Linked DNA regions of Arabidopsis thaliana. The protein of the gene in region 1 interacts with the protein of each later gene in a pairwise test. Each region holds a gene or a part of one and is shown on either strand. Other genes may lie near its edges.

The links.
Region 2: the proteins of SMO1-2 (region 1) and AT3G16180 interact in a protein complementation assay, tested with the Arabidopsis thaliana proteins (one large-scale study listed by BioGRID).
Region 3: the proteins of SMO1-2 (region 1) and AT3G08600 interact in a protein complementation assay, tested with the Arabidopsis thaliana proteins (one large-scale study listed by BioGRID).

What each region holds. Positions count from the first base shown.
Region 1 is NC_003075.7:11,952,930-11,959,759, reverse strand, and holds SMO1-2 (sterol C4-methyl oxidase 1-2), read left to right. Parts: upstream 1-2,841; 5' UTR 2,842-3,064; coding exon 3,065-3,400; intron 3,401-3,478; coding exon 3,479-3,801; intron 3,802-4,142; coding exon 4,143-4,290; intron 4,291-4,383; coding exon 4,384-4,416; intron 4,417-4,576; coding exon 4,577-4,636; 3' UTR 4,637-4,920; downstream 4,921-6,830. Other genes in the region: AT4G22758 (PPR containing protein), read right to left, coding at 1-73, 438-642, 939-1,283; AT4G22755 (methylsterol monooxygenase 1-3), read left to right, coding at 6,151-6,474, 6,759-6,830. UniProt on the Arabidopsis thaliana protein: Non-heme iron oxygenase involved in sterols biosynthesis by catalyzing the removal of the first methyl group at the C-4 position. 4,4-dimethyl-9-beta,19-cyclopropylsterols such as 24-methylenecycloartanol are the preferred substrates.
Region 2 is NC_003074.8:5,479,800-5,488,572, reverse strand, and holds AT3G16180 (Major facilitator superfamily protein), read left to right. Parts: upstream 1-3,385; 5' UTR 3,386-3,629; coding exon 3,630-3,732; intron 3,733-3,818; coding exon 3,819-4,036; intron 4,037-4,042; exon of another isoform or gene 4,043-5,556; intron 5,557-5,564; coding exon 5,565-6,121; intron 6,122-6,198; coding exon 6,199-7,096; 3' UTR 7,097-7,248; downstream 7,249-8,773. Other genes in the region: AT3G16175 (Thioesterase superfamily protein), read right to left, coding at 7,365-7,535, 7,668-7,808, 7,915-8,076; AAE13 (AMP-dependent synthetase and ligase family protein), read right to left, coding at 8,445-8,489, 8,605-8,658, 8,755-8,773. UniProt on the Arabidopsis thaliana protein: Low-affinity nitrate transporter involved in xylem-to-phloem transfer for redistributing nitrate into developing leaves. Not involved in dipeptides transport.
Region 3 is NC_003074.8:2,608,967-2,615,543, forward strand, and holds AT3G08600 (transmembrane protein, putative (DUF1191)), read left to right. Parts: upstream 1-3,208; 5' UTR 3,209-3,679; coding exon 3,680-4,630; 3' UTR 4,631-5,052; downstream 5,053-6,577. Other genes in the region: iPGAM2 (Phosphoglycerate mutase, 2,3-bisphosphoglycerate-independent), read right to left, coding at 15-170, 260-355, 435-627, 930-1,354, 1,446-1,649, 1,733-2,011, 2,107-2,271.

The DNA.
Region 1 (6,830 bases):
GTTTCAGGAGCTTTCTTTCTCATGTAGAAGCTTCTACTGCCTAATTCTCCAATTATTTCTCTTTTCTCCAAACCTGAAAATTACATTACATCAAACTTAAGTATATTTTGATTGTCTTAACCATTCAATTATGTGACAAAAAAGAGAGGTAAATCGTTAGGTTTAGTCACCATTTTCTTTATTATAGGTTATATAACTCAAGAATTATGTGATGTTTCTATGTTCACATGAGCCATGAGTAGTTTTGATATTTTCCATAACCGTTGGTGATTAAAGCAAAACTAGATATCATGGAGTATAGATATTTAATCCAATCAATCTACGTCAAACTGAAAACAACTGATTCAAAATTTCAACCAAAACATCATTTGTGCTTTTATTTTATTAATTCTATATGTAAAAACAATTATTATTTTTGGATAATTAATATATCTTACACTGGATGCTGAAATGTGACTGATGCAATTCAAAGGCAGAATCTCGATCGAGTTTTGGAGTTCTTCCTTCTTTACAGTACTTGTCAACGACAATTTTGATCGTTTCTTCGACGTTGCAACTCAGTTTAACCATTGCTCTTACCGGTCCAGGACTTCCTTCTACTGCTACACTGATTATTACTTTTGGTGCTTCTTTTGTATTACCCTGTTTCGAAAAATAATAACAAAATGAGGTTCTCTGATTTTAGAAATTTAATAGAAATGTCAATTTTTGGTATATTTATCACGATCTGATAACATGAACTGGAGAACTGACTCTAGAATTTGCAGCTGAACTTAAAACTCTTTGTTCAGCCTATATAATGGTTATATTGAAATATTTTATAATATTAGGCTTAAACTGTAAACTTTTAAATCTTTGTGGACTAAATGATGAATTCTCTTACAGAGTTGAAATCATGAATTTGTTGATTTGAAAAAATAGAAGCAAACGACTCTGACCTCTTGATTGATCGGAGATGAAGACGAGGGCGAATATAAGTTCAACAACGACGGAGACGAAGCGAAAACCTCAGAGCGAATCCTAGGCAAGTAAACGATCGGTTTTGTTTCTTCTTCCATCGGTAAACCTCTCATCGGCGATGGTCGCCGCAAGTGATTACTCTGTCCGTCGCGGTGGCGATTAAGACTCGGCTCTGAGAAGCTTCTCTCGAAAACCTTATTACTCGATTTAGAGCGATTATTCTTGTCGGAAACATATCTGAAAGCTGTTCGTCTTGTTCTGGAGCTCCGACCTCCATTTCCTACAGGATTCGAAACTTTTCTCCGGTGAATCGAATCAGACATTTCGTGAATGATGATCTTTGCTTAAGGAGGAGGAAGAAGAAAAAACAATTGAGAGGTTTTGGTGGTTTGCTTGGCAAAGAAGCGAATTAAGAGTTATTCTCTGCTTTTGCTTTGCTTTACTCTTTTATTATCTTCTTTTCTTTCATTTGTATTTTTCAAATGTTTTTCCAAATCAAATTGTTTTTTTTTTTCTTTTTAACATAAGTGTGGATTTTAACATTTAAATTCAAACCGACCAAAAAAAATACACGATTAAAGGTAGTAATATAGACGTGGTTCTTGTAATATAGTATTTATATTTCCTGTCGACGATCGATTCTTTTATAGTATGATATCTTGTGCTGATTCTTACGTACTTGTGTTTATTATAGTAAAATAGAAATGCGTTGAATTGTAGCACTGTATTAGATTAAAACTTCTATGTAATTATGGAGCTAAAATGTTTTCTGGTTAGCATACGGAGTATTTTTTAAAAAATCTATCCTTATTATGGATAAAATGTGTTGGAAAAAGGCAATAATATACTTGTACAAATGAATATAAATTTCTTGATGCATTGTTTTAGAAGATTACTTGGGAGACTCACAATCCTATAAAGTGTAAAGGAAACAAAACTATTGGATTTGTAGAAAAGTTGACACGTTAAACAAGAAAACGAGAAACCCAAACAAGTTTCGTAAAACACAAAAAATCTAAGGTGATAGTGAGAAGCACATAAACAAATGAAAAAAAACACATAAACAATTAGAGAGGAGGGAGACTCAACTAGTATCATCAATTCATTAAATTTTACGAAAGTGCTGAGTAATGGAAGTAATATAAAAAATTTATAACCAAAAACAAGAATTCATCAACGTCAAGAAAAAACAACATAAAATAAAAAGGAGAATTTGTGTGGCTGAGATTGGTCCGAGGTTTGTTTCCACTGTTAAAAGAAAGAACTTTTGGGCTTGATTTAAAGTCATTAATGGTGTGGTCGACTTCTCTTATGCCATACGCACTCATGTTCACGCGTAACGCACTTGTTTTCCACCAAGTATTTAACAACGATCGTTTGTGACCCTTTTTTATGTATACTTGAAACTTAAAAAATATGTATTATTACATTTAAATATCATTTATTGTCATGACGAAAAAATTGTAAGACTTTATAATTTCAAATGTAACGTCACTTTTCGTGATGATGTAATACCATTCTATTACTTAAATACAATTGGCCAACAGCCTCAATTTATTTCAACCTTTTGCTATCTCTATAGTATAATGGTGTCATAAAAATTCATAGACACATTCCACAAAACTCGTGTATGTATATCCGTGTCTTTATATATATGTGTATATCCAAGTGTATAATAAAGTTTTTTTTCTTAAAAAAAAAAACAGAAATTTGTATGCACCATTTAAACAATTAAAGAAAGAAAATTGGGCCTACTCCAAACACAACGCTACTGTGGAGTACATTTTATCCATTTTAATGGCCCAATAATTTATAATGGGCTTTTAGTATGGGCCATTTTGTCCCTCTTTTTTATGTTGTAAGCGAGATCTTGAGACAATGTTAGTAATTTTGGTTTAATCCGGTTCAACAAGTAAACATCACACTTGTAAACTAAACCGATAATGCCACGTCACTACTCCAAATATTCGCCAAATCATAACAGACAAAATCCAACAACAACGACGACACTCTCCTCTCTCACTCTCTCTCTCAATCTCAATCTCAATCTCACGTCAACGACCGTCGCCGTCACCGGAAGGAAACGATTTCATCATCTTCTACAATGATCCCATACGCAACAATCGAAGAAGCGTCGATCGCATTATCTCGAAACCTCACATGGCTAGAGACTCTCTGGTTCGATTACTCCGCCACCAAATCCGATTACTACCTCTACTGCCACAACATTCTCTTCCTCTTCCTCATCTTCTCTCTCGTTCCTCTCCCTCTCGTTTTCATCGAATCATCTCAATCCACCTCAGATTTGTTCAATCGCTACAAAATCCAACCAAAAGTGAAAAACTCATTCTCATCGATGTTCAAATGTTACAAAGACGTCATGAAGATGTTCATCCTCGTCGTTGGTCCATTACAACTCGTTTCTTATCCTTCGATTCAGGTTAATTTCTGGAATTTGGCTTCTAATTTCGGAATTGATGCGATTTAGGTTGATTTTGTTTTTCGTGTGTTGAAACAGATGATTGAGATACGAAGTGGATTACCATTACCATCATGTATGGAGATTGTAGCACAGTTAGTGGTTTACTTCTTGGTAGAGGATTATACTAATTACTGGGTTCATAGATTCTTTCATTGTAAATGGGGTTATGAGAAGTTTCATCATATTCATCATGAGTATACAGCTCCTATTGGTTATGCTGCTCCTTATGCTCATTGGGCTGAGGTTTTGCTTCTTGGCATTCCCACGTTTCTTGGACCTGCTATTGCTCCTGGTCATATGATTACCTTTTGGTTGTGGATTGCTTTACGACAGATTGAGGCTATCGAAACTCATAGCGGGTAAGGAAAAGGAATGGTTTTGAATTGTTTATCTTAGTTTATAATGCGTTGGGGCTATGTGGGAAGTTTCAATAGTGCGTTTACCTTTTGTTGGTGGGGCTAAGGTTAGGCACTAGCCTTTTCTGATGCTTTATTGACTGTAATTAGCTCTAGGTGATTGTTTAGAGACTGCTTAGTTAATCTTTTGTGGTCAACATGAGCAAGAAATCATTCTTGAGATGATAAGCATCTTGTCTTGTTCAAATAAGTATTTGGACAATATGATGATTGCTTGGTGCATGAAACTTGTTTCTCTGGAGATAAATTGACTTGTTTTTTTTATTTTTCGTTTTCTTTTGAAGATATGATTTCCCATGGTCTCTGACAAAGTACATTCCATTTTATGGTGGAGCTGAGTATCATGATTACCATCACTACGTTGGAGGACAAAGCCAGAGTAACTTTGCTTCAGTTTTTACTTACTGCGATTACATCTATGGAACTGATAAAGTGAGTAATGAAACTTCAGTTCTTTTCCGGTTAGCGTCTACTAATTCTGGATAAAAATTTGACAATGTGGGTATATGTTCTTATTTTCATCAGGGTTACCGATTCCAGAAGAAGCTTCTTCAGCAGGTAAATAAATACTCCATAAACTGAGACTAGCTTATCTCTCGGCATACCGCATACCCATAAACGCAGCCATCAAATTGCAAGCTCACATAACAGTATATGTGGTATCTAGTATCATCATATTGATGATATGTTTCTTGATGCTATATCTTATGAGTTGCAGATGAAGGAGAAGTCCAAGAAGAGCAACAAGCTGGTTAATGGAGGAGAGAAATTCGATTAGTAAATCTAAAACCCCTCGCGAGGTTGACTTACCGTAAGTTTCAAGCATTCTACAAATGTAGTCAATACTTAAAAATGAAAGGGTAGTTAGTTTTCTCTGTTCTGGTCTTCCCTGTGTCACATGAAAATGCTCGTGACGAGTTCCTATCTGAAGTTTTTTTTAAAACTCTTTTGGAATTGGTGTGTGTCAATAAATCCTTTTTGTATATTTTAAATGTTACATAGTGCATTCATTGGCTTGTAACAAGTTCCTACTCTGATAGTATTAAGTTAAGTTAAGTATAACTTAAGTATCTAACGTTAACAACAAGGCCCGTCTAGCTCAGTTGGTAGAGCGCAAGGCTCTTAACCTTGTGGTCGTGGGTTCGAGCCCCACGGTGGGCGTTTCTTTTCCTTTTTGTTGCATTTGAGTGGCATGATTTAAAAGGAAAATCCTTACCATAACGATAGTTGCATTGATGATGGGGGTCGATTTCACTCTCGGAAAACAAATCTAATCAAAGAAGGCTAAAACAAGCGAAACACATGCATTTACTAAAGCTGTCTCACCAAACTTGAAAACAACAGTTTTAAGTACAGTAGTAGGTACAATAACTTATTTAGTTGTTACCAACTAATTTATGACTTTAAAATCGAAACACTCTCTTCCTTCCTGTGTTTTTTCAACTAAACCTAACAACACACAGTTTTTCTTTAACACACATTTCCTTGTTCTCGTTGTCTTAGAATTACCATGGACACAGTGAATATGATAATAACTTCAAGAATGGGGTTGTAGCTGTGTGAGGCTATATTTTTTTTTTTGGTTTAATGAGGCTATATTGTAAACTACTTCAATAAGTTTTTACTCTTAAACCAATTCACGAAAGAGTTTTAATGAACTTGATATTAAGTTTTTGTCCACACATATTTTGTGTATCAACGAGTTTTTCTTTTCTAGACGTATGGATCATCACTCTTCGTTTCGTAGATTGTTAAACAATGAAGAAAGGCTTTAGCTATTCAAAATCATTTGGTGAAAAGAAATTACTCCTGATGATAGGTCTATAAATGAATTTGCAACAAATATTTCCGAACATACAATTTTAGATATCTTCTAACCTAAATAACTACTAAAAAATAACAACCTTAGTAACTTTGAATTTTCGTTTTATATTTTTAAAAAACGAAAATGTGACCCGTTCGTATCAAATATAGACGTAAAGAGATAAGATATGTTTTGTTGTGTTCTACTAAAAAGTCAAAAAACAAATACATTGAGGACCCAATTTGGCGGACTTCTCAAAGGGTAAATAATATACCAAAAATTGGAAAAATCAAAAAAAAAGAAAAATCACCGAAATTAATTAAGTAGGTACCATGTTTCGACATTTGTGCATCTTTATATAGTTTTTCAAGCATCCTCATCATACATTTTCCAAAACACATTCAAGACACGTTTTATGAGTCTATAACTCCAAAACAATGCTATAACATAAACCACACAAATTAATCCAGACACAACACTCTCACAATATGATCCCTTATCCAACCGTAGAAGATGCGTCCGTGGCGTTAGGACGAAACCTTACTTGGTTCGAGACGGTTTGGTTCGATTACTCAGCCACCAAATCCAATTTCCATGTATATTGCCACACCATTCTGGTTCTCTTCCTTGTCTTTTCACTAGCTCCTTTTCCTCTTGTGATTGTCGAATGGACCGGTTGGTTCGATCAGTTTAAGATTCAGAAGAAGGTTAAGTATTCGTTGTCTGATATGTTCCAATGTTATAAAGAAGTCATGAAGTTGTTCCTTCTCGTCGTCGGCACATTGCAAATCGTTTCTTATCCTTCCATCCAGGTTACTATTCATTTTAAATTTTCATTTATTCTTTAAAACAAACAACCAAATATTTTATGATATATGTATATTCCTTTTTTTAAGTGTTGTTTTTGCAACGTTTTTTGTGTGAGTGGGTTGTTATACAATTTTGTGCTTTTTTTTTTGGTTATTTAGAGAAAAATCCCATTAAAATATTAAATTGAAACGTTATATTATTGCATATATGTATATACCCTTCTTACAACACTTTTTTTTGTTAATTTGTGATGTTCTTGAGATATACTATATGTGTTAATTGACAGATGGTTGGGATTCGAAGTGGTTTGCCATTACCATCGTTAATGGAGATAGTAGCACAATTAGTGGTTTACTTC
Region 2 (8,773 bases), on another chromosome or scaffold:
TGATAATAGATTGATTTGACTTATGAAAAGAAAGGGGACAATAGAGAGTTGAAATATCAAAGGCAAGTTCATGAATTTTTAGATAGATAAACGGCAAGTTCATGAATTTTCCTCTTTGTAACTGAAATAATACGCCTCGCTGGCTTCATTGTTTTTTTTTCTTAAACAAATTTTGGTTAAAGCAGGAGTCAAGGTTATGTCGTATCTATGTAAAAATCATACGCAAACAAACATATTTTTAGCACATCGTCTCAAATTTTGGTATCTAGTAATATACTAGATGGAAATTCACTAAACTATCTTCCTAAATATAACACTTTTTTAGATGTTCATTTATCAACAAAAAATATATGTTTTATACTTTTTAGGTGTAGGTATTACTTTATTGAATACAAATTTATATAAAAATAGTAGATTTGTAAATACAGATATCTTTTTTTATTTTATATACGTGTGATGATATAACTAAAGCATCTAATGATTTGAAAACAGAGGTAATACAATAATATTACAGTAATAATTTTTAGGAGTACTTATTATCAGTCTCTCGTAAATTCACTTGATTACTAGGATATACTTTTTCTTCTTTTTTTCTTTTATCAAGTTATTAATTTAACCAATTTTCGTATATAGCTTATACCTCGCAGCTTTTTGTGTTAAATGACATTATGGATTGATGGTCAGTGAGTTATTAAAACGTGATACTTGTAACTACAGTATGCGAAAATAACTCAAATAGTTTCGACATTAAAATTCTCCAATTTACAGACTGGACCTTAATATCCAACAATTTCCATAACAACCAATTCAATAGCAAAGTAACAAAATACCCACCTTCTAAATTTTTAATAAATTACAACAAGAAGAAGACAAGGTAATTAGCTTGTGTGTAAATGGAGAAGGGACTGGAACAGAGCTAAAAAAAAATAGAGAGAACATTGAATAAGAAAGTAGAGTAGGTGAGAAAAATGAGTCTGACAAAATAATATATTTTTTTTGAATTTGAGAAGAAAAAATAAGTCTGAAACCTGACACATACCTCAATAGACCTTTCCTTCTTGAAGTAAGAAATGGAGGAAAAATGAGGAGGTGGCGTGTAAGTCAAGCAATCTTTGAATAATAATGTTTCAGAGACAATTCATTTTCTACAGTCTTCTTCTTTTGGAAGTGTCCCAGAATTATCTTCGTCCACAATCTACATTCACTCTTTCACAACATTATCGAACACCGAATTTAAATGAAATATATTCTGTAATGTTTCTCACCAAATTCTATGCATAGTGTTAACCTAGAGACCATTTCTTTCGACTGTATTATTTCACAAACGCCGAAATGTATATAGTAAAAACAATTTATGTTACCATTTGCTTTTTGCTTTATCCACAGTGTTTTTTTTTTTGTTTCGTTTCTTTAAAGTGTCCCATCACTTTTATTTGGATCTAACTCTGATTTTCTTGGGTTAAGTTGTTACGACGAGGCTAAGTAGTTATGATGATCACAAATTAAAAATGAAATGACATAATGAGTAGTGTGGATTAACAAGTTTGTCAAAAAGGAGATTGCAGAGTATCCAAACACCCACGTGCAAGGCAAATGACCATGTCACTCTCATCATTATGGCTTTTTATTCACTTTTTGTTTTTAAATTATTCTAATGTTCTAAGAAATTATTTTAAGAGATTTTTTTAATAGCAGGATAATCTAATGTTGAATTCTTGATGTATTGATTAATTACGATTTTTTTTAAAAACTAAATTAGGTATTTGGTATTGAAACTGTTCATGTGGATGCATGAAAGACCACAAATAAATTTTTGGATAATGAAATTTCATTTTTGGTTCCTACTAGCGAGTCTTCTGCCATCATCAGACACCGCACTTAATTTTGTACGAACTTTTTCATTCAAATCTGGTTGCACCATTTTTAATTTTGTACTGAACATAAGTACTTTACTTATAATCTGGTTTAGGCAGAAACTTTCAAATACTTGTATCATTTAACTTGGAAACGTAATTACTTAGCGTATAATGATATATAGCCTGTAGGATATAGAATCACAAATTAGTGATAAGTATTTTGATACAGTAGTTTATATCCTCAGAATCTAACAGTATGATATTGTTTAGCAATATATAATGTTTTGTGAATAATGAATGTTAGTTTTCTTTGCATTCATTATTTGGATTAAGTCACATAAGAAAATATAATTGTTAATTTGGAATGGATAGTTTAACCGATTAGATACGAGTAACTTTATAAGATGGGGTTCGTCTTAAAGTCGACATTAGCAGGGAAAACTACTAATTTAATCTCTTGGTCGAAGTTACTATACATCGTAAAGTCCGAAACTTCTTAGATACATAGAAAATTATACAGTTAAACATATACTATTATTCATATTTTTGTTAAAACATAAACTATTATTCATGAGGTCAATTGTTACATGGGTTTGGTAAACTTTCGTATGCTATTATTTTATTATATTCTTTGGGCCGACTCTTTGAGATGTTGACTTATTAGTGTGATAAGGAGAAAGCGAATTAAAAAAAACTTTATATATGATTGCACTTACTTTAATGAATCCATTTTTTAACTTTAAACTGAAAAAAAAGAATTGAATAACAAAAAGTTTCAATTTGTCAAGAAAAGAGGAAGAGAGAGAGCCAAAACAAAAGCTGTTAACCTCATGGGATGTTTTCCATTCTCAATTATTAGTAAACTTTTGTTATGATTTTTGATCCGTTCCTTTCGATAATTGGATGTGATTTGTGGAAAGCCATTTACATGTTTAGTTACAGTATAATGATATAGTTGAAGCTCTCATAAACTTTTTAAGAGTTTAAGTCTGATTAGAAGACATCTTTAGAAGATAATACAATATTGAAATTCTTGTGATTGATTCTTCTACATTGCAAATTCACTTCCAACAACTATTTCATCAAAAAATCTATAGAATAGTTATGGTTTCGAAGTATATAACATTAACATATTTAACTAATTTGAAATGTACATAAATAATAATAAATTGGATTTATTTCAAAAATAAGTCAATAACACCAGACCATTTTATGTTTGACGTAAGTAACATGGATGATGGAACATTGGAAGTTTGATGTACAATGTACTGTTTTTTTCTTTTCTCTTCTTTTTGAAATATCTATGTAAGTTAATCTTCTCCATTTTAGATATTTTCTTCACAAAAAAACGAATATTTCTGGCATTTATGTTTCAACTTGTATTTAGCTAAGATTAGGAAAATGACGTTTTATCTAACTTTTTTTCTTTCATACTACTAACAAATCATTTCTAAGTTCTAACTAAGAATGAAAATTGTCGTGTGCCATATAGGATAAAACCTCACTCTATAAAAATCATTATGATAAATTAATTAATAAAATTAAAAAATTAAAAAACAATTTGCCTTGAGGGAAAAAGAAAATGTAGTATTTAAATAACAGCCATTTATTATTGCTCACTCGTCGCAGAAAACAGAGATTCCTCGCTGTCTGAACTGAAAAATAAGATCGCATTAACTCAAAACTCTCACAAAGACAAAGATCTTCTCCTCCTTCTCTTCTCTTTTTCACTTTTCTCTCTTCCCCTCTCTCGAAGCTTGAAAGGTAACAACAATGGAGAACCCTCCGGATCAAACAGAGTCAAAGGAGACTCTTCAACAACCCATTACAAGAAGAAGAACAAAGGGTGGTCTTCTCACTATGCCCTTCATCATTGGTAACAAACGATCTCTCTCACTTTTTTAGACAAAAACCCAAATCTTGTTACTAATTTTATCTCATCTTGTTTGTTACTCGGTGAAGCAAACGAGGGGTTCGAGAAAGTGGCGAGCTATGGATTATTACAGAACATGATTCTTTATCTGATGAGTGATTACAGATTGGGACTTGTTAAAGGACAAACTGTCTTGTTCATGTGGGTTGCTGCTACTAATTTCATGCCTCTCGTTGGAGCTTTTCTCTCAGATTCATATTTGGGTCGCTTTCTCACCATTGTCATTGCTTCTCTCTCCAGTCTCCTGGTAATTTCCGTCCCCTATTTAACCGGTTTACGCTTCTTCTTTCTCCCGGTTTACTCCGGTTCAATTTTTTAGCCACTTCTTTGACTCAACATTTTTCACCACCTAGTTAGCCTTTGGTTTGGAAATGCTTTGTTTATGTTTACTGTCAGTAAAGGTTGAGTTTTATTAAAATTGGGAATCTAAACCGAAAGTTTCGGTTTAAGTTGATTTGGGTGAAATATCGTGCTTGTATTCAGTGTTTTATTACTTGGCTTTAGACAATTGGACCTTACTTACATGCATTGATAATTGGAGTTAAATTCCGGTTTGATAGTTTTCGATAATTGGACTTGACTTTACTTGCGTCGACAACAAAAAGAGAATTCCATAAAATCTAACCAAGTCATAGAATTAAGGGCCAAGAATTAAATGGTACGAGGTTTTGTATGTAATTATTTAATTATTTTATATTCTCGAAATAGTAAAAAAAAGATTGGTATGGTAAATTTCAGGGGTTTTTACTAAAATTTTATAACTTTTTACCGTTGGTTTTGCTAAATCATTGATAGCTGTATATTTCTGCTTTAAGTACTATAATATCTAATGATAATCATCTACAGTGAAATTTCTAATTTAAGAGTTGATATGATTAAGCTTTTTAGAAGCCTTTTTCCATTAAGAGTCAAAATTTTCACATGTTGCATGTGCTTCCCTGAAATTGCTGTCCAATGAATGGAGAAACTAAACCCGCTTTGATTTGTTTTTAATATTTGTGTCCATCAAAAATATAAAAGTCGGTAAAATTAAATTCGAAGCCAGGTGTTCTGAAATGTCCATGTGAGTTTATATAATAACAGGTCTTAAATAATCATAAAGTATTTAATATCATTATTAATTCCTTAAAATCTTGTTTGTTGCTTTCCTTGTGGTTATGGTCTTGTGGGCTTTCTCTGGCAACTTGTGTGATTGTGAGTGACCACACTGCTTGCATCTCTCTATGTATAAAAAATATCATTTTGTTATTACTTTTTGTTGTATGTAGACTTAGAGTTTCATTATTTATATGTCCAAATATATGGGTCAAGCTGACGTGGACCTACATTTTGCCACCATTTAAGGATTTGACATTAGTTTTTTGGCCAACATATAAGTGTTAGACATGAAAGCAATATCGATTGGTGACCCATGTTTTTGTACTACTTGTCCCATTCTTGATCAAACTTATTATTTCACCCACTTGGAAAAAAAAACTTATCATATACATAGTGACATCAATTGATTTTGAAATCTCTACATCAATCATTCATCTCGAGTATCAATCATTTTCCGTAAGAAAATAATGTTTTCGTATGATGGATGTGACAATTGACGTACGTGTAGATTCTGATCTAATACTTGGATTCTTGTTCTTGGAAGTACTTTTTTTGGAAGACATCTACAGATTTTACGAATGAAGTGATAACTACATTTTTATTATGAAAAACAAAAACGTCAAAATCTAACCTACTACATTGTTTTAATAAATTTGTCTGAATCAAAAATGTTACAGGGGATGGTGGTTCTATGGCTAACGGCGATGTTGCCGCAAGTAAAACCATCACCGTGTGTAGCAACAGCCGGAACCAACTGCAGTTCCGCGACATCTTCTCAATTGGCTCTCTTGTATACCGCATTCGCATTAATATCGATTGGATCAGGAGGAATCAGGCCATGTTCTTTAGCCTTTGGTGCTGATCAATTGGACAACAAAGAGAATCCTAAGAACGAGAGAGTTCTTGAGAGTTTCTTTGGTTGGTACTACGCTTCTTCATCAGTTGCTGTCTTGATCGCTTTCACCGTCATTGTTTACATTCAAGATCATCTAGGATGGAAAATCGGGTTTGGAATACCCGCGATTCTCATGCTGCTCGCGGGTTTCTTGTTTGTTTTCGCGTCTCCTCTCTACGTTAAGCGCGATGTGAGCAAGAGTCTGTTCACTGGTTTAGCTCAAGTGGTTGCTGCAGCTTACGTGAAGAGAAACTTAACTTTGCCGGATCATCATGACTCCAGAGATTGTTATTACCGTTTGAAAGATTCTGAACTCAAAGCTCCAAGTGACAAATTGAGGTAAAGTGAAATCAGTTTCACATATATAGTTCTTGGTTAGTTTTTTTATTTATTGATACTTTCTTGCAATTGCTTAGGTTTTTAAACAAAGCTTGTGCCATAAGTAACCGCGATGAAGACCTTGGTTCTGATGGTTTGGCCTTAAACCAGTGGAGGCTATGCACAACGGACCAAGTTGAGAAACTCAAGGCGTTGGTCAAGGTGATACCGGTATGGTCCACGGGGATAATGATGTCGATAAACGTTAGCCAGAACTCTTTTCAGTTGCTTCAAGCTAAATCAATGGACAGACGTTTAAGCAGCAATTCGACCTTCCAAATCCCAGCTGGATCGTTTGGTATGTTCACAATCATAGCCTTAATCTCATGGGTTGTTCTGTACGACCGCGCAATTCTCCCTTTAGCTTCAAAGATCCGAGGCAGACCAGTTAGAGTCAATGTCAAGATTCGAATGGGATTAGGGCTATTCATATCATTCTTAGCAATGGCGGTTTCCGCAACTGTTGAACATTACAGAAGGAAAACCGCGATAAGCCAAGGACTCGCAAACGATGCCAACTCAACAGTGAGCATCTCAGCAATGTGGCTTGTACCACAGTATGTACTACACGGTTTAGCAGAGGCCTTGACCGGGATAGGACAGACCGAGTTTTTCTATACCGAGTTTCCTAAAAGCATGTCGAGTATCGCAGCTTCGTTGTTCGGTCTAGGAATGGCAGTGGCTAATATCTTGGCTAGTGTGATCCTAAATGCGGTAAAGAATAGCTCAAAGCAGGGCAATGTGAGCTGGATTGAAGATAACATCAACAAGGGTCACTATGACTATTACTATTGGGTTTTAGCGATCTTGAGCTTCGTTAATGTCATCTACTACGTTGTGTGTAGCTGGTCCTATGGTCCTACGGTGGATCAGGTGAGGAATGATAAGGTTAATGGTATGAGAAAAGAAGAAGAGGAAGTTATTAAATTAAACTAAGACCAATTGGTTGATCATAATTAAATGGTGTACGTGTGTTATAAAATTCTATATATTTGTATGTAATTAGATTATTATATCATGGATTTGGATTTTCTTAGGATGTAGAGGTTGATGTTAATTAATGGGTCGTGTGTTTATTTAATTATTACAAAAAAAAAAAAAACATTGTGTGTATGATATTTGATTGAAGAGAATCAAATTTTCAAAATGGTGATTTGTGGTGTTTTTGACTTTGGGAAATTGAATCACTTAAATTAAGAAAAAATCAAAGCTTACTAAGAGTAGAAACATTTTGTATGGCTTTGACGCTAAGTGGAGCCATCCACAATCTTCCTGTGGCTATAATTTCTCCACTTGTTTCTCTTCTAATCTCAATCACAGCTGATTTTAATCCTCCATTGCTTCCATTCACTCTTGCTTCTATCTCTACCGTTTCCTGCAATTTTGTAGTTTTTTCTTATCATTATTACTTCTAATCATTACTAATAATAGTAATTTACCTAATTTAGTAGTTTGCATGTTTCATAACAAAAAAAACGAGAGAAAAATGAGGATAGGGAAAGCGAACGTGAATCTTGGCCGTTGAATAAAACGAAGAGTTGAGATCAACAGAGATATGGAGTCCGCCGCCGGAGGAGTACACAGCTGACGCTCCGATCGAGTCCATCACCGCCGTAATCACTCCCGCATTCCAACTTCCATCTTCTCCCTGAGAATCATCTTTCGCATTGTTTAGTAATAATAACGTTCACCAATCAAAAACACAAAAAAGGAAGCTTAAAACTAGATTCGTTGGATTAAGTAAATTTTATTACCACGACATGATCTGTGACAAGTAATTTACAACGTAAGATCCCTTTCCCGACATGGATGAGTTCTAAGCCTTTCAAGATTAAAATCTCGAACTCGGTTTGCCCGTTTCCTTTTGCTATCTCTTCGAGATACGTCGTCGTGTTATGGATCGTTGGATCTACCATACTGTCCCTTCTTCTTCGTCTTTTTACGTTCTCGTTACAAAACAAACTTGCGTGTGGGAATATATGGTTATCGGATCATCATAGTTAATTACCATTATACCCTTTTGGAATGATTACTGATTTAGCATCAAAGAGTCAAAGACTATGGTCAACTTTCCTTCTTTCACACTATACAATTTTGTTGTTCTTCACACTAAACAAAGAAATAGTATATAACAAAGATTTACTTCTCAAATAGTTAATTTGGTATTGATTCTTGACATTATTGAGTCAAAGTACATGATACAGGAAAGAAGGAAATTACATTTTATGCATACGTGTCATATAATCAAAAGAACAAGGAGTAGCAATGAAATCCATGGTTGTCTTTATTCTTGATTTTCCAGAGATTTCTTTAGCTCTTTTTTGTTCACCTGCAACTCGAAAAAAATACTCATACACTGAGAATGATTCTTATTGGTTACAACAAAACAACTATCTCTGATATCATTCAAGAAAAAAGAAAAAATTTGAGAGAAATATAGCTACCTTTCCCATGGCGTTGCGAGGCAAGCTCTCCCATATCAGCAATCTTGTTGGTAGCTGAAAAGACAGAATATTATGGACAAGAAAAAAAAAGAAAAAAAGATTGACAAGACTGTTGCGCGTTTTGACAACACTTTGGCAGATTTTTAGTACCTTGTAAGGAGCAAGCTTG
Region 3 (6,577 bases), on another chromosome or scaffold:
GTGCTAGAACTTACTGGTTTAAGGGTGTGAGAGGTAAGAATCTGAAGGTTCCCTTCCTTATCGAGAGCAGGCTTGCCGGATTTGTCCCTTTTAACCATGTCCTCAGCATTTCCGTGATCTGCAGTCACAACGTATATCCCTCCGACCTGTTCTATGGCATCAAGGATTGTCTGCAAACCAGGACACCAAAACTAAGTGAGTCATTGCTACTAAGAACGGTTTCTAACATTCCCATGTCACAAATTTATTGAAATCATACCCTCACAGCACGATCAGCAGCTTCACAGGCAACAACAGTTGCTTCAATATCACCAGTATGCCCCACCATATCTCCATTTGGCAGGTTTACACGCACCTGAAAATCCATTGGCACCAAACTCAGAAGCCAATTGTTTTAATGGGTTGATACAATGTGATAAGAGAATACACCTTACCTGGTCAAACTTGCCACTAAGGATAGCATCCCTTGCTTTCTCGGCAATTTCCAGTGCTTTCATCTTTGGCTGGACATTGAATGATATTCCACTATCACTTGGAATCTCAACGTACTCTTCTAACTTTTCATTGAAATATCCAGAGCGGTTGCCATTCCAGAAGAAGGTTACATGGCCAAACTTCACAGTCTCACTGTTTCAGTGAAATAAAATTTTAATAGGTTAATAGCTGAGAATTCATTCATTATATGTAACTAACCATCAACGGTATAATCTCATCAAGAAAAAGTGAGCTAGGAGATTTCACTAGTTTTAATCAACAAACAACCCCCAATCATAAATTAGACCTCTACCGAGCAAGTAAAGAAGACTGGATTACTCTTATCACAGTTTCAATTATGAATCCAATTCCAGCAAATAAATAAACCAGGAAGCAGCAATAGAAGAAAATGGCAAAGACAATAACTAAAGATTTGAGAGATTCTAAAAGTTAACCTGCAAGCAAAAGTACGAACGCCATTGTGTGCCAGATATTCACCAGAAGTTCTGTCAATCAATGGTGGAGAAACAAGATAGCGGCTAGGAAGCTTAAGCTCTCCATCATATTGGAGCATTCCTGCATAACGTATATCAGGGACACGTACGCGATCAAACTTGTCGAAATCTTTGTATTCGAGGGCCTTTGCATGCATGACCATTCGATCAGCACGGAAATTGAATGTAACAACTGCGTCACCATCAACAATTGGACCCACAGCCTTTCCATTATCATCAACAATAACAAACGAAGGCAAATACTGGTCATTGGCACCAGGTTCTGCCCTCAGTGTCTTAACTGCTTCAAGAGCGCTTTTAAATTTGTGGGGAGCTTCCCCAAGGACTTGTGCATCCCAACCTCGTTTAACAACACTCCAATCATTCTGCAAGGAAGGAAAGCAAAAATTGGATTCATTTCTAAACTAGACTAGACAAGGCATGACATTCATACAAGATCTCACAAGCATTGCCTACCTCATAACGGTCCATTGTGACATACATTCGACCTCCACCAGATGCAACCTGAGCATCAACACCTTTCGCACGTAAAGCAGCTAGGTCAGCTTCAAGAGTTTCAACAAATCCGACACTAGAACCATCCAAAACATCACGACCATCAGTAAGAATATGGACGCGGATTCTCTTAGCACCACGTTCTGCAAAACCCTTAAGCAGCAACTGCACCAAACAGAACCAAATTAAAGAAAATTAACAAACGCCAACGTTTCAAAAGAAATGTGTAACAGATGAGAATTAAGTACCTGGACTTGATCCAAACGAGAGTGAACTCCACCATCGCTTAGAAGACCAATAAGGTGCACAGTGCCTTTCTCAAAAGATTGAGAGATGTATTTGAAACCTTCATCTTCATAGATTTTCCCTGAAGCAAGGGCGAGATCAACAAGCTTAGCACCTTGAGCGTAAATTCGACCAGCTCCAAGAGCATTGTGGCCAACTTCACTGTTTCCCATGTCGTCTTCGCTGGGGAGACCAACGGCGGTACCATGAGCTTTGATCAACCTCCATGTGTCGGGCTTCCCCTGTGAAGAATAAAATCGAACCGTTGAAGTCCATAATCGGAATCCAGCGAAATCATCGAGGAAAGAAGTGGATATAAACAAAAAAGGAAACATACGTCTTTAAGGGAATCCATGGCAGGAGTTGGAGCTTTATGGATGCAATTGTATTGATCGGGATCAGATTCACCCCATCCATCGAGAACAATCAAACCGATAGTTTTGCCTTTGGGAAGCTTGGGGTGGTCCGCAAGTTTCCAGTTAACGTCGCCGGAGCTACCCATAACTGTGGATTCAGATCCACTCGTCGGTGAGAAATTAAAGGTTTAAGGAACAGATCTGAGAAGCGAGAGAGAGAGAGATAACGGAAGCTTACCAGCGGAGAAACAGAGGAAAGCTTCTCAAAGAGTCTTATGGAGATTCGCAGAGACAGAAGTGGTTATGTGGTGAAGTATGGTAGGTTGAGAGCTATCACTGACATAATATGAGACTTTTATAGAAACATAGAAATGGAAAAGTTAGCGATGACGTGGTACCAATTTAATGGGCTTTACTTTGGGCTCAAGTAAACATTGTGAAGCCCCCAAAAAAATGGAAGGAGACGAATGTTCTAGTTTTAGCTGCTATGAACGAATGTTCTGGATCATGCCGTTTGTAATAGTCATGGTGTGCGCCATGTAAAAAAAATTGTATATACCTTTTTATTTTGGTCAACGTAAAAAATAGCATACAGAAAAGGTCAAACCGGAGTTAACTTAATAGTTTATACGGTATTTGAACCAGAATTTGATCAAAAATGGGTAAGTTTTAGTAACTGGGATTACATTAATTTCTGTTGACAGTAACTTTTTTTTATCTAAATCATTATTTAAACCTTGAGATTGCATTAAATCAAACTGAAATTACACGAAAACCAAACCGAAAACTCATGTAAGAAATTCAGGGTTGTGCACATTTATTTATTCAATATCATCATAATATTAACTGGGAACCTTCAAAAGGTTGGTAGAAGGCTAAAAAACAATTTCTAATGGGCCAAAGACAAAAAGTTGAGTTCCTATATATTGGGCTTAAAAAGCCTGAAACTAGATGAGACGTGGTTCATAGTCAGATAAATGGGCCAAGGATAAGGAAAGACAAAAACAAAAGTAGAAAAGAATCATACAGTATACATATATGGGAAATATACAGAGAGAGATACAGATAACACAATAAGAGGTAGACGGACAACTGTTACGGCGAAATTGAATGCCGCAATGTATCAATATGATTGGTCGAAAAGGAAAGTAAAAAAAACAAACAAAATATTAAATTTTTGTTAATGTGTAAAGGGAGAAAAAATCAGATGAACAGGCTGTATCATTTTTTTTTTTGTGAACAAATGGGACTGACGACAACACTCTTCTTCTCCTTTTTGTCCTTTTGGCTCTCTCCTTCTCTCCTTTCTCTCTCTCTCTCTTTTCCACCGGCGACCATTCATTCTCTCTCCTCCTCCTCCTCCTCCTCCTCCTCAGCTTCCTCCATTGCTCCTTAACCCTCATTCCTCGATTTGTTCTTCTCTTCACCATTTCCCCTTTTTACCCTTTTTCTACTCAGACGTGACGGCGACTTTTTATTCCTGTGTCTCCCACCTTTGACTCGCCCTGGGGGGATTTTTTTTTGCTCCAGAGGCGAAAGAAACAAAAAAAAGCAATGGGGTTTCTCCGTTGTCTCCAGCTGCTGCTGCTTCTGTTTCTATCTCTTCGTCTACAAAAGCTCTCTGCTCAATCTTCTTCACCCAATGCTTCTTCTTCTTCTTCACTCGATGCTCTTCTTCAAGATTACTCTTTTAGAGCCTTGCTTCGTCCTCGTACCGGCATTCTCTACGAGGCTACTACTGTTCCTTCCAATTTGACTGGGATCAAACTCGCTGCTATGAGACTCAGAAGCGGAAGCTTTAGAAAACGTGGAGTCACTCCTTTTAATGAGTTCTCAATTCCCAGCGGCGTTATCGTCAAGCCGTATGTGACAAGGCTTGTTTTGGTTTATCAAAACCTAGCTAATTTCTCTCACTTGTATTACCCTTTGTCTGGTTATGATTATGTCGCTCCTGTCTTGGGTCTTCTCGCTTACGATGCTAAGAATCTCTCTGCGCTTAATTTGCCTCAGCTTGATTTAAGGGTGTCTAATGATCCTATCAGAATCGATTTCTCTGATCTGGAACGAATCCCGCAAGGGTCTAGTGCTAAGTGTGTTAGATTCGATTCTAAAGGTGAAGCGAGTTTCAGCGATTCGATTCAGCCTGGAAACACATGCGAGACTGAGCATCAGGGACATTTCTCTGTGGTGGTGAAATCTGTGGCTTCTGCTCCGAGTCTAGCTCCTCCTGGGATTGAGAGTAAGAAGAAGAAGAAGAGCTCTGATTCCAATTCCAAGACTTGGATCATTGTTGGGTCGGTGGTTGGTGGATTGATACTGTTGGGGCTTTTACTGTTTCTGGTTTTGAGATGTCGAAATTACAAGAAGCAAGAGAAAATGAGGGAGATGGAGAGAGCTGGAGAGACAGGGGAAGCTCTGAGGATGACTCAGGTTGGTGAAACAAGAGCACCAACTGCTACTACGACTCGTACACAACCAATGCTTGAAACCGAATACGCAGCTTAGGATACTTTTGTGTACATCATCATCATCATCACATCTTCTTGATCATCTGTTACTGTCTTTTTCTTTTTTTCTTCTACAATTATTCTTCTTTTGGTAAAGTGTTTCTTTTTCTGATTATTTTTTCTTTGTGGTAAGCAAGTTGATACTTCCACATTCATCTTGTTTCTCTGCTGGTGATAAGGAAATAAGTAATATTGTTTTCTTCTTGTGCTCTCAAATTAACAAACTTTGGTGGTCTCTCCATGAGAATGAAAAGAGTTGGATTGTTTCTGGAGTGCACTCACTTTGTTTTCTTCTAACTACTTTTGCTGTAAAGCTTTGCCCTTTTTGTAATAATTTCAACATCTTTTTGTCTGAGAAGCAGACAGTTGAAGAAGATGTATATCATCCTATCATCCATACTCAACTTTGTTACATTGAGCTTAGCATTCTTCAAAAGGAACTAGTGTGTTCTTGAGATTTGTTGAGTTTTAACATTTTTTGCAGCTATCTGCTTCATGCAACTTGTTGACCCTCACATTTATATTAGAAGATCACCGATGAACCAATAGATTTTGGAACCAAAGAGGTTAGAATCCGGTAGGATATGTAGAAGATGATTTGCACTTGGCAATGTTACAACGTTTATGTTTACATCTAGGATTGTCTTGTTTGCTTACCTTATATGAAAAGTCATCTCGTTCATATGGATTTTTTGCATTCTACATTTTAGAAAAGCACCGTTTGCCACTTCAGGTATGTAACAATGTGCACAGCTACAAATCTTTGCACTGAACAGATTTGGAATAAAGTTTGAGTTAAAGTGAATACATGACTTGGTTAATCCTGGCTTGGGCCATCTTGTGGCCTCTTGCTCATATCAAGTAAAATGCCATGACAACAACGTTAATGGCTAAGTTAGCATTGCAGCATCTCCTCTGACTTCTGCAGATACCAGGAGATTTTTTGTCTCATCATTCCAAAATCTTAAGGTTGAAAAAGAGATGAAGTAAAATGTATAAATGCGGTATTAATTGTGTTTCAAGGACACACAAATAATTGCCAGTTTTTGTCAAAAGGAAACTATAGTTGTAGAATATTCGTCTCTTTTCTTCTTTTTCTGTTATCTGTTCTATTAGAAAGCTAAAGAAATACATCAAAGTCAGGTCTCAACGGTAAAATGAAAACAAGCTTCTTTTTCACTAAAGAGTAAAAGAGATTCCTCTCAACATTGGTCTTTCATATTTTTCCTAGCTCATATTCTGGTGTGGTTGATCGAATCTTAATGAACCGGAGAAAATAAAAGATTTGATTATGTAATTTATCATAATCAAGAGCTTGTTTGTGAACACATGAAAAAGTAAAGGAAAGAAGAAGAACTCTCTCTGCCTGAGGAGTTGTAATTTTTGGCAGAAGCTGGTGTCGTTTTAAAGAGAAATTAGAAGTGAATCTATGTAGTTGTGTTGGTTGGTAAGATCGATTTAGTTACATTAAATAAAAAATATTCCTTTGAGCAAAAACAATTAAAAAAGATAGGTTTCGTCACAAGGTGGACCATTTCGAAGAAGAATTAAGAGACGAGCCCACTTGAAAGAGACATAGCGAGGGGACCCCATGTGAATCTGCAAGCAGAGACAGAGGCTTTGACCGTTCTCATTCATCAACCATCCTCCATTATTAGCCAGAGTCATAAACCATGTGATTCATCATCACAAGGCTTCATTGGACTCTCTCATGCATATTCACAATCTCCACTTCCATCTTATACAATTCCAGTTCCTACCCGCAACAAATCCAACACCTGAAGATGATACTGATGCTTTTGAAAGTATAACTAGGAATGAGAGAAGTACTAGGATGAGCCATCTTTCCAGATATTCATTTATTCACTCACACAGCAAGAGAGTAGTTCAGTGTATCATGCAACTTAAAAGCATACAAAATATCACGAATAGAGAAATATTGATA